Oryzias latipes: one gene and its partners. The protein of the gene in region 1 interacts with the protein of each later gene in a pairwise test. Links are inferred from orthologs where the notes say so. Each region holds a gene or a part of one and is shown in the gene's direction. Other genes may lie near its edges.

The links.
Region 2: the proteins of liprin-alpha-1 (region 1) and ccnh interact in binary tests that used the Homo sapiens proteins (3 or more experiments, as listed by UniProt). The link is inferred for Oryzias latipes from reciprocal best matches to the Homo sapiens genes PPFIA1 and CCNH.
Region 3: the proteins of liprin-alpha-1 (region 1) and fam161a interact in binary tests that used the Homo sapiens proteins (3 or more experiments, as listed by UniProt). The link is inferred for Oryzias latipes from reciprocal best matches to the Homo sapiens genes PPFIA1 and FAM161A.

What each region holds. Positions count from the first base shown.
Region 1 is NC_019861.2:2,121,644-2,125,143, forward strand, and holds part of liprin-alpha-1, read left to right. Parts: intron 1-1,836; coding exon 1,837-1,938; intron 1,939-2,126; coding exon 2,127-2,291; intron 2,292-2,387; coding exon 2,388-2,462; intron 2,463-3,500. UniProt on the Homo sapiens protein: May regulate the disassembly of focal adhesions. May localize receptor-like tyrosine phosphatases type 2A at specific sites on the plasma membrane, possibly regulating their interaction with the extracellular environment and their association with substrates.
Region 2 is NC_019867.2:14,756,282-14,760,512, reverse strand, and holds the start of ccnh (cyclin-H), read left to right. Parts: upstream 1-1,431; 5' UTR 1,432-1,610; coding exon 1,611-1,727; intron 1,728-1,826; coding exon 1,827-1,949; intron 1,950-2,027; coding exon 2,028-2,101; intron 2,102-2,285; coding exon 2,286-2,499; intron 2,500-2,573; coding exon 2,574-2,737; intron 2,738-3,021; coding exon 3,022-3,092; intron 3,093-3,189; coding exon 3,190-3,295; intron 3,296-3,422; exon of another isoform or gene 3,423-4,231. UniProt on the Homo sapiens protein: Regulates CDK7, the catalytic subunit of the CDK-activating kinase (CAK) enzymatic complex. CAK activates the cyclin-associated kinases CDK1, CDK2, CDK4 and CDK6 by threonine phosphorylation.
Region 3 is NC_019859.2:4,112,924-4,116,925, forward strand, and holds the start of fam161a (protein FAM161A), read left to right. Parts: upstream 1-1,202; 5' UTR 1,203-1,373; coding exon 1,374-1,529; intron 1,530-1,922; exon of another isoform or gene 1,923-2,265; coding exon 2,266-2,534; intron 2,535-4,002. Other genes in the region: cct4 (T-complex protein 1 subunit delta), read left to right, coding at 1-20, 93-206, 284-298. UniProt on the Homo sapiens protein: Involved in ciliogenesis.

The sequences.
Region 1 (3,500 bases):
TGAGTTAGTGAAACCTTCTCTGAGTTAGTGGAACCTTCTCTGAGTTAGTGGAACCTTCCCTGAGTTAGTGAAACCTTCTCTGAGTTAGTGAAACCTTCCCTGAGTTAGTGAAACCTTCTCTGAGTTAGTGAAACCTTCCCTGAGTTAGTGAAACCTTCCCTGAGTTAGTGAAACCTTCCCTGAGTTAGTGACACCTTCCCTGAGTTAGTGAAACCTTCTCTGAGTTAGTGAAACCTTCCCTGAGTTAGTGAAACCTTCCCTGAGTTAGTGACACCTTCCCTGAGTTAGTGAAACCTTCTCTGAGTTAGTGAAACCTTCCTTGAGTTAGTGAAACCTTCCCTGAGTTAGTGACACCTTCTCTGAGTTAGTGAAACCTTCCCTGAGTTAGTGAAAGCTTCCCTGAGTTAGTGAAACCTTTTCTGAGTTAGTGATACTTCTCTGAGTTAGTGAAATCTTCTCTGAGTTAGTGAAACCTTCCCTGAGTTAGTGAAACCTTCCCCGAGTTAGTGAAACCTTCCCTGAGTTAGTGAAACCTTCCCTGAGTTAGTGACACCTTCTCTGAATTAGTGAAACCTTCCCTGAGTTAGTGAAACCTTCTCTGAGTTAGAGAAACCTTCTCTGAGTTAGTGAAACCTTCCCTGAGTTAGTGAAACCTTCCCTGAGTTAGTGAAACCTTCCCTGAGTTAGTGAAACCTTCCCTGAGTTAGTGAAACCTTCCCTGAGTTAGTGAAACCTTCTGTGAGCTAGTGACACATTCTCTGAGTTAATGAAATCTTCCTTTGAGTTACTGAAACCTTCTCTGAGTTAGAGACACCTTCTCTGAGTTAGAGAAACCTTCTCTGTGTTAGAGAAACCATCTCTGAGTTAGAGAAACCTTCTCTGAGTTAGAGAAACCTTCTCTGAGTTAGAGAAACCTTCTCTGAGTTAGAGAAACCTTCTCTGAGTTAGAGAAACCTTCTCTGAGTTAGAGAAACCTTCTCTGAGTTAGAGAAACCTTCTCTGAGTTAGAGACACCTTCTCTGAGTTAGAGAAACCTTTTCTGAGTTAGAGAAACCTTCTCTGAGTTAGAGAAACCTTCTCTGAGCTAGTGACACATTCTCTGAGTTAGTGAAACCTTTTCTGAGTTAGAGAAACCTTCTCTGAGCTAGTGACACATTCTCTGAGTTAGTGAAACCTTTTCTGAGTTAGAGAAACCTTTTCTGAGTTAGAGAAACCTTCTCTGAGTTAGAGAAACCTTCTCTGAGCTAGTGACACATTCTCTGAGTTAGTGAAACCTTTTCTGAGTTAGAGAAACCTTTTCTGAGTTAGAGAAACCTTTTCTGAGTTAGAGAAACCTTCTCTGAGTTAGAGAAACCTTCTCTGAGCTAGTGACACATTCTCTGAGTTAGTGAAACCTTTTCTGAGTTAGAGAAACCTTCTCTGAGCTAGTGACACATTCTCTGAGTTAGTGAAACCTTTTCTGAGTTAGAGAAACCTTTTCTGAGTTAGAGAAACCTTCTCTGAGTTAGTGAAACCTTTTCTGAGCTAGTGACACATTCTCTGAGTTAGTGAAACCTTTTCTGAGTTAGAGAAACCTTCTCTGAGTTAGTGAAACCTTCTCTGAGCTAGTGACACATTATCTGAGTTAGTGAAACCTTCTCTGAGTTAGTGAAACCTTCTCTGCAGTGCTCTCTGTATTTCTGGGTTTCCTATGATGCCAGAGTTCTGCTGTGATTGAAATGTCTGTCTGTGTTTACATGAGAGCGGAGGGTTTCTCCGCCATGAAGCCTCACGGTGCACAGCGCATCAGTAACGGCTGCATGCCCCCTGTTCTCTTTGTGCTTCATGCTTCTTTAGGAGTTTGCTGCACTAACAAAGGAGGTGAACGTGTGCCGGGAGCAGCTTCTGGAGAAAGAGGAGGAGATCGCCGAGTTGAAGGCGGAGAGGAACAACACCCGGGTGAGTGAGATGCACACCTTTTTCCTTGGATCTAGCTAGCAACAGTTGTCAAAACAAAAACTCTTTTACTGTTTAACATTGACAACAAATCTTATGGAGACAAAAAACAGTTCATGGTTTCCAAAATGTGTAGTTTGAGAGCAGGAGCGAGGCTTCACTCTGGTCCTCCCTGTCTGTGGTGTGTGCAGCTCCTGCTGGAACACCTGGAGTGCCTGGTGTCGCGTCACGAGCGCAGTCTGAGGATGACCGTGGTGAAGAGGCAGGCTCAGTCTCCTGCTGGTGTCTCCAGCGAGGTGGAGGTCCTCAAGGCTCTCAAGTCACTTTTTGAACACCACAAAGCCCTTGATGAGAAGGTGTGTTTTTGTAGGGAATGTCCAACAGCTCCTGGTAGAATACTGTGCTTGATAAGGATGAATGAAGTTAAAAAGGTTTATGTTCCACCTTTGAAGGTAAGAGAGCGTCTTCGTGTTGCTCTGGAGCGATGCAGCGCTTTGGAGGAAGAACTCGCCATTTCACACAAAGAAGTGAGTAAACACTACAAACTCTGTTTGGGGCTTAGGATGTAAACGGGGTGTTTCGGCTCCAAGTTAGAAGAAGTGCGGCTACACTGGACTTTGTTTAGTATTTATTGAAGTCTCAAGAGCTCAGAGGCTGTTTGTTCATGCATGAATCTACCTGATGTCCTTCATCCGAGGACTGTGGTACATATAGCAGGTTCCAGATGTTATCTGAGATCGCTTCAGTCAGACTTTGCAGAAATCATGTCACACCAGGTTAGTAAATGCTGTGAGGCCATTTGAGCTTTATACAAATGCGTTGAAATGAATCTCATAAAGAACTTTGTGTGATGTTTCTTTGTCCCTCATGTTTTTGATGCCTGCACCAGCCACCCTTGTGAGGGACCAAAGGCTGATTTATGTGAGGTTTAATGCCTTTTGTGAGGCAGAGGGGAAAAAAAAACAAGCACAGGAACCGCGAGAATTGCCCCTTACCCCATAACTTCTGCTAGTTGCCTCTGCTTTTAGTTTAACCCGATGAAGCAGCAGAACATGTGAGGGTTTGTACCAGGCTCCAGAAAGACCTAGAGGAGAATTTTTTTCTCTCAATAACCTTTATTGCACATTTTTCAATTTACAGAAATTCACATTCAGTTGCACAATAAAGAAACAATTGTTACTATCAAACACACATATAAGACCAAACAACAATAATAGGAATAAGCCCTTTTTGTGTGTGTCCCTGCTGGACTTACAGCAGCAACAGAATGTTTAGGGAAGAGGGTTGATATGGAGACAGCGATGTGGTGACACTGATGCTACCATGCTATCATGCAACCATGCTATCATGCTAAAATACTCAGATGCTTTATTGCTGTGTGTCGCCTACATCTGATCACGGACCGGTTTAAAGTCAGACCATATTTTCACAGAGCGAACTTTAAGACGTGGAGGATAAATGCCACAAAAAGAATTCATAGAACATTAATAAAAACTGTATTTTATAAATATAATAACAGACACTTTCTGCTGGCTCTTGTAACATTACAGAGCCCAGCGTTGAGC
Region 2 (4,231 bases), on another chromosome or scaffold:
GATGAAACAAATTTTCAAAACATGAGCTTATTGATCAGAGCTGTGGAGGTTTTTCCTTTAGCCTCGTCTGCACTGTCAATCTTTCCATAACTTTGCAAAATATCTGGGAATGCTTCTATAAGCTGCTGAAATACTGACGGGAGGGCCGATTATGGGATGGGACTAACTTAATCAGGCAGCTCTAATGTGTGATCTGGTAATGCCGAAGTCTGATTTTCCATTAAAATGCTGCCTGTCAGACTCCGTATGATTTAGATTTACTCACAAGATGGTATTCCTTTGATAAAAAATATTCTAAACCACCAGATACTCACACACAGAACAATCAACTGCAGTGTGCTCACATTCAAAGAATAAGAGTCATTCTGCAGAGTTCAACATTTAAAGAAAGCAGTCAAGAAAAAAGAAAAAAAACGTGACAAAGATGTAACACAAGACTAAAGGCTTCAAATGAGTCATCACACCCCAAATGATGCGAAATAGCAGGTGGAAAGGTGCCTGACTGTCAACAGCAATCGTGCACGCACACGCAGACAGAAGGGCGCATGGACGTGCGTGTGCACGTGAGCAGACGAGTGCGCAAACATACAGTAAACGCTGCAAAGGTGTCATCAATAATGCATCAGCGCTTCATGTTTATGCAATTCTCAGGGCAACCCGAGCCATGTATATACGGGCGAGAGCCGTGCTCGCAGCAACTGCACCGCACGTAATAAGGCGTTTGTCTGTCAGCTCAGACGCACGCGCCGCGTCTCTACGCCTGTGGAAAGATTAGTGTTATTTCTTAAAAAAAAAAAAAAAAAAAAGTCTTCAGCACATACCTGTTAAAGCACTATTTCTTTGATTTTGGTTTATGCAGGCTTGAAGGGCTTCATGATAACACGGCACTAAGGCGGCACTGATATGCAAATTATCAGCTCCAGCTGAATGCTAGGGCATTTATTATTCATAAATTACTCATGTTTATGCAAATTACGGTATGCAGAAACACTACTGGTGGCGGAGTGGCTCTGGCTAAAACATACTTTCTGAGTCTGTTGGAGACCATCTACACTGGTACAATGTTACAATAGCAAAAAAAATAAACAAGGATGTTTGTACTTTAAATTATGTTTCAAAATGATTGTGTGCACATCAGTGAGTCCATTACATTTAATTATTCTGATTTTGTTTAGGAGGAAAGACTTAAAGGTCAATATTTACAGAAAAATAATTGCTTTCCACCTCAACAATTTGTTTGTCCAATTCATGCCGTTAAAAATAAGTGAGGTAAAAATGTGTACACTTCAACATTTTGTTAACTTTATATTAAAGAAACATAATTATAAATAAGTTTAAATAAAATGAGAAATTGAGTATTTCATAAGGAAAAATCATAGCACGCACTAATACAGGAAGCACGGTAAATGCGTCATCAACAAGGGTCCGCATTACGTAAATATCGCGCGACGTCCTCACTACTACTTGGGGGTGAACAACACACAGCCCGATTTAACTACTTTTACACTACGCTGATTACTTTAATCGTTCAAGGATTTCCGTGTGGTAAAATACATAAAGCTACTTTAGGATTATGTTGTGGTTTTAGCTCTCGTAAATCAGAAGCCGCCATGTATCACAACAGCTCTCAGCGAAAGTACTGGATCTTCAAAAGTGAGGCTGAACTTGAGCAGAAAAGATGCAGTGCCAATGAGGCATTTCGTAAAAAAGTCATAGAAAGTGGGAAGGTAGGTAACATTCTTTTAAGCATTTTAAAACGTTTAATGTAAACGGTTTGGGGGAAAAACGCGATTTTCTTTTTTAATTAAACATTTATTTGAAATCAGGCAGGTATGTATGAGTCCATGTTCTTGAAACGGAACGAAGAAGACGTTTTATTCCGCCATTATGAGAGGAGACTCCTGGACTTCTGCAGCGCTTTTAAGCCTCCAATGCCCAAGTCTGTTGTGGTGCGTGTGTGTCTCATTTCTTTTTTTTCATGTGTACAGACTCGACTAACTCTTACTGGAGCCCATCTTTTTTTCTAGGGCACTGCCATCATGTACTTCCGGAGGTTCTACCTCAACAACTCTGTTATGGAGCACCACCCAAGGATCATCATGTCAGTGACTGTCACTGTGGAAAGGATAAGACATTAAACATTCGGTTCAAAGATGCGAATGGTTCATTCTAAAAGTTTAAATGCAAATGTGATGTTTCTGCAGGAAGATGGGAACGATTCCGTTTGTTCATATATTACAAACATGCATGTACGTTTCCAGCTGTTGACGTACCTTCTTGTCCAGGCTGACGTGTGCATACCTGGCCTGCAAAGTGGACGAGTTCAACGTGTCCAGCACCCAGTTTGTGGGCAATCTCCTGCATGAGACGCCAGCTGGACAAGAACGGGTTCTTCAGCAAATCCTGGAGTATGAACTGCTGTTAATCCAACAACTCAGTTTTCATCTCGTGGTCCACAACCCCTACAGACCGCTAGAGGGTTTGCTCATCGACCTCAAGGTTTGTACCTTACAGAAGAGAGCTGAATGTCACTCCAGATCGCCAGTTTTTAATCCGTGTTCTTTGTCTTTTAGACTCGCTATCCTGCACTGGAGAACCCAGAGTCACTGAGGAAGAGTGCTGATGACTTTCTGACCCAGGCGGTCATGACGGATGCCGGACTGCTGTGTTCTCCCTCTCAGATCGCTCTGACAGCTATTCTGAATAGCGCTTTAAGAGCTGGCCTCAGCATGGAAAGGCAGGTTTGCTTTAGCCTTAACAACAATGTATGTGAAATTCAACTTAATTAGAAAAACAAATTAGGTTTTGCAAGTTGAAACTTGGAATTTAAATGGAAAAGGTATACATTATTCTGGAAAGAAATTGATCAAATGAAGGTGGTGACAAATATTTTGAAGAAAATTCTCTGAACATTTCCTCCTTTTCAGATATTTCTAAATTATAAGCTCAGTTGGTGCAAAAAAGTTTTTTTCTTATATATATTTTTTAAAACTAAAATCCTATTTTATTTTCCTTCCCCAGCTACCTGACTGAGTGCTTGGGACTGAAAGACGACAAAGATTCCCTCTCAAAGATTTTCGACTTAATGAGGCGTAAGTCAACTTGCACTTCAGTGTAACACCACTAGATGGCAGAGTTGTGCTGTTATTCCTGTATGATGTTTTGAATTCATGCGTTTGGCACATGCAGGAACAAAAAGCCTCCTCAAGAAGTATGAGCTCCCCAAAGCAGAGGAGGTGAACGTTTACAAACAGAAGCTGGAGAGGATTCATGCAGAGTTTAGCAGTTCAAGCAAGTAAGAAACATAAAAACACACATGAGCTCTTTTAAGTCAGGATTTCAATCTTTAAACATTGTCAATCTGTGATTCCTGCTGCATTATTTACCCACAACAATAGCGACCGAGAACAACAATCCACGCGTATGTAGTAACCGTTTATTTCAGCCAGGTTGTTGTATCTAAGATGCAAAAGGTTCAGTATTGGGTAGAAAAATAAAAATGAACACATCCTCGTCTGTTGTATGAAACCCCTACATCAGTGGTACAGCCGATGAGTCGCCTGGGCTCATCTGCCAACACTCGGTGAGGTCCGTGGTATCTTCAAGTGCAACTACAGTAAACAGTTTGGTAAACTATGACAGGCACAGATCCAGACGTTGCAGCTGCTTAGAACATGAAGGGAGGCAAACAAAGCCGACCCTTTATGACTTTGAAGTTTAGAAATCGCTGCATGGCGGGACTTTTCAGGGTGAATCGGTGGGAAAAACAGTCAGAGCAGAGGTGTACTCGGAGGACAAAGCAAAAACGCCATCTTGTTGTAATGGCGGAGAAACGAGGAGCTACAAGAAATCCAGGCTTTCAATGACATCAAAGGCATAAAAGGGGTTTAGGTGATGGTTGTTGGAGCAGCAGATACGTAGGCCCAAACATTGTCGCTGTATCCATTCAGGGTTAATGCATGCACAAGGCAGGCTACAGGTGTATACTACAAACCTTTAGACTAATCTCTGCTCCGCTATATCCTACACAAACACTTCTTTACAAGCCTAAGTAGGTAATAACAGACAAAAGCAGCGTAGAAAAAAAGCAGGAAGTGGTTTGGGTGCTGTAAGCAGGTTCATACATGAAGACAGTAACGGATATAAATAGTTTGGAAGAAGAGAACTTTGTCGAATCGGGGGATGTCGGTGAGCAGAAATGGAGTTAAGGCTTGTGTTGATTCGTTTCTTT
Region 3 (4,002 bases), on another chromosome or scaffold:
CCGGCATCAACGTCCGCAAGGTCGGCGTGCTTTCCTTTTGCTCCGTCTGTGCGCGGTTGACAGCTTGACAGATTTATTTATTTTTTGGACAGGGGGGGATTTCAAACATCTTGGAGGAGCTGGTGGTGCAGCCCGTGCTGGTTTCCATCAGCGCGTTGACTCTGGCCACAGAAACGGTCCGTAGCATCCTCAAGATCGATGACGTGGTAAGACTCAGAACTGGATTCCCTTTTTCATTTTACAGAAGTATGATTGGAAATTAATTTTTGTGTTCTGGTTCCAGGTGAACACTCGATAGGTCTGTCCGGTTTCTGAAGCCCGTTTGTTCTGCGAGGGATCAGAGCATCACGTCGACAGCAGTCTGCTCCGATTTCTGCTGTAGTTATTGCATTGCCTAATTTAATAAAAGGCTGTGGGGTTTTTTTTGTTGACACTGCTGCCTCTTTTTGTCTTTCTTTCTTTGTCTTTGTCTTTATGTTGCACTAAAGTGTAGTACACAGATTTAGAAACATGTTCTGGTCTTCATTTTTTTTAAATTGTATGTCTTGAAAACCGCTAATTTGAAAAAAGTATGTGAAATATTAACGCAGAGTTAACACGTATTTACCAAATAATTTCTGCAGCATGAAAAGATGCATAAAATCTGGTTTCTAGTACTTATCAGACTAATGGTAACATTATAAAACATGACCTAAATGTAAAATGTTGATTTGCTGTTATAAAATAAGGTTTTCTCTTGATTAAAGAGTAATGACAGATCTTTATTTGTCATTGTCACGCATACAATAGAATTTAAAGTGATTCCTGGTCAGTCTAACACTCATACCTTAAAAAAAATTAGACTCCAGGCGCCGGTGCCTCTGACCTCATGCTCATCCAAGACGTGGACGGTGCTGCTTTTCTATAGAATTGGTTAAAAATGTAAAATCTTTAGATAGAATTTTTGTGTGTCTTCAAAAATTGGGTGATGATCATGGCCTGGTTCAAAAAAAAAGTCCTGCTTCTATGCAAAATAAATTCAATGCATAAGTAATTTTATTATTTGAATTAAGATACTTTTTTTTATTTAAGTAGCCGTTTTCATTCAATTAATCAAATAAGAAAAAAATATATACATTTTAATGGTCAGAACCTGTGTTTACTCGATTCATTTTAAGCGTTCAGTTTAAAAATGTACACGTTTCCAACGCTTTTATTTTGTATCAGAGCTTTGTTCTTTGCTTCCGTTTTACGTCACTTCCTTCCTAACGATGCTTCTCCGTTGCTAAGAAGCCAGCCAACCTGACAACGACTGTTCCCTCCGGGGAACGAACTAAGTAACAGAACCTCATCAAGGCGCTTTTTTAAAAAAAAAAAACTGTTTCAACAAAAAGATGGCGAATCCTCACCGGACGAACGTTTTATTAACTTCCTGTCTGAAGGCGCCGGTGGACCCGCACACCAAGGCGCCGCTTGCGTCATACGAGCGCGGGGCAGTCCTAACGCACGCGACTGCAGGCCAGCTGGACAACCGGGACTATGAGAAAGAGGTAAACACATGTTTAAAAATATTTCACAATAAAAGTCACACTTTCAAAATAATAATCTTTCTAAAAATAGTTAAGACAACTCTGTATTTATTGAGATATATAGAAACTTTGTATACACTTTAGATTGGAGGTTGTTATACTATATTTTATTTATTTATTTATTTATTACAATGTGAAGGTGGGTGAAGCTGTTGTTTTCCTGTAGTCTGAGTGCAGCTCCCTCTGACCTGAGACAGGTTATGTCCAGTTAACAGGATGTTGACAGTTTCAGGTCAGCCAGGTGGAAGGGATTTGATCTGTCATTTGTTGTCCCGTCTATTTTTGGATTTCTGTCTTCACTAGATTACCAGAAGTCTTGTTGGGTCGGTAATCTCTTTTATATCCTTTTAACAGCAATGACCTTCTGTGGAAAAAACACCTCGTAGCAAGTTGGTCTAATTTTCAGAAACGCTTCTGACAAACATCCTTTTTAATGGAGGCCGGACACTTTAGGAGGAGTAGATGTCAGCGGAGCTCCTTCATGCTGAGCTCACCTTTGTGTTCCAACCATATGGCTCTGATCATTGTGACTGCAGGATAATGAGCTTAGTCCTGAAGACCTTACTGCCCCTCAACAGGGCAGCAGTGTTCTTTAGGGCATAGAAGTGAAAACAAACTTTTAATAAATTCATGTAGGAAGCCTTCAAATACCTGTTAATTAACATGATGATCCTTGAGTGACCTTTGGGCATTTCAGCTGGAGTTTTGGGACTCGGGCTCGGATTTCTGTGATGAGGACTGTCTGGGGATGGGAGGAGCTCACGTGGGGGGCAGCTTCAGGGCAGCCGTCGACCGCCTGGACCTGAGTGAAATCTTCTTCTCCAATGAGGAATACTACAGCAAGCTGGAGGAGCTGAAGAGGGCCCACGAACGCACCATGGCAGAGCTGGAAAGCATGTACCAGCAGAAGCTGCAGCTCAGGTCCGGTGAAGCTTTTGATATGAAGGCCCTGGATATCGGTCACAGGTCAGTTGGGCCGGATTAAAGGAATTTCTTTGACAGTTTAACACTAATTTTGCAAACCGAGACTATTGTTGTTGTTTTTTTATTTTATATATTAACCATATTTTCACTGAGATTAAGGGACTTTGATTATGAGATATTCATTCCTGCAGAAATAAAATAAAATAATTAGCTCAGCTGCCTACAATTGAACATGTTTTAGGGTTGCTTTTAAGAATAAAAAACAAATTACCTGGAAAGCTTAAAGATTTCCTCTTTAAATTTTTTATTGTTCGCATGTCCATTTCTTTTTTAGATTATACTGTCATGCATGGAAGAAAGCTTCGGCCTATCTTATGCATGTTTTGCAGGATTCAACCATTGACTGTAAATGAGAACTGAACTGAGTGACCCCTCCCTCCTGGCGTCCCAAACAGGCCAAAATCGCATAGACTTCTATAGAGAAATAAACAGAAGTTCTTCAGTCATTCTATTTTTCAGAATAACTATTCTTGCTCTGAAACCTTTTTTTTTAAAGACCCACTTCTATGAAAACTGTGATTTTCATAGAAAATCACAGTTTTGTGGTGTTTTTAACATGTTCTTATGGCATTTTTCTGAAGATGGAGGACAACTTTGAAGAGAATTAAGGTTATAATTGCATTTCTGAGTATTTCTTTATTCAAATTGCTGTGAATCAGGAGCAGATGAGACAAAAAACAGTTTGAAAAAGAGGATATTTGTGATGTAGAAAATACGCTGGGTGGGCCAAAAGCTCCCTGCTCCATTCTGAGCTGGAATCTGGATCTAGACTGTACGGTTGAAGAGCTTCACCATCATCCACAGTAATGTTAGGTTGGGGGTGTAAGGGCCTGAAAGGTAGCGAGAGAGAGTGTAAACAGAGAACTCTCTGCTGTGGGTGACAGACGTCATCTTTAGCTTAACCCCTAACCCAAAACTCAGAGGTGAATTTCTAATGAACTCCTGCCACTCTGCAGAAACTTTTAGCCAAAAAAAAATTATTTTGGCTAAAAACAGCATAATCATAATTGAAAGACCACTGGGAATGCTCTAAAAATCAAAAGATTATCATAATTCTCAATAATCTTAGTTCTTTCATGATATTTTTTCTGTTGTAAAGGTTATTCAAGCTATAAGCTGACCCATCAGATGCCTCAATAAAATTCAGCGGCCAAAGTTTTGTAAACTTGATTGACAGGTGGTAGAAATGTGGACTTCCAACAGTACCGATTGGTGAGAGTTGTCGCCATAGAAATGCAGGGGTCCAATTTGGACATATCACTGCTGACTCCAACACGGTGGTGTCTGTATCGCAAAAAACAGACGACTGAATTGATTACATTTTGTTGGAGCCATAAGTAAACCATTTTCCATGGGTGACGTCACATTCACTCAGTCCAGTTCTCATATACAGTCAATGGTTTTAAGTAATTGGCTTTGGGCGGGGTTTAGTCTGTGCTCGAGGTGGGTC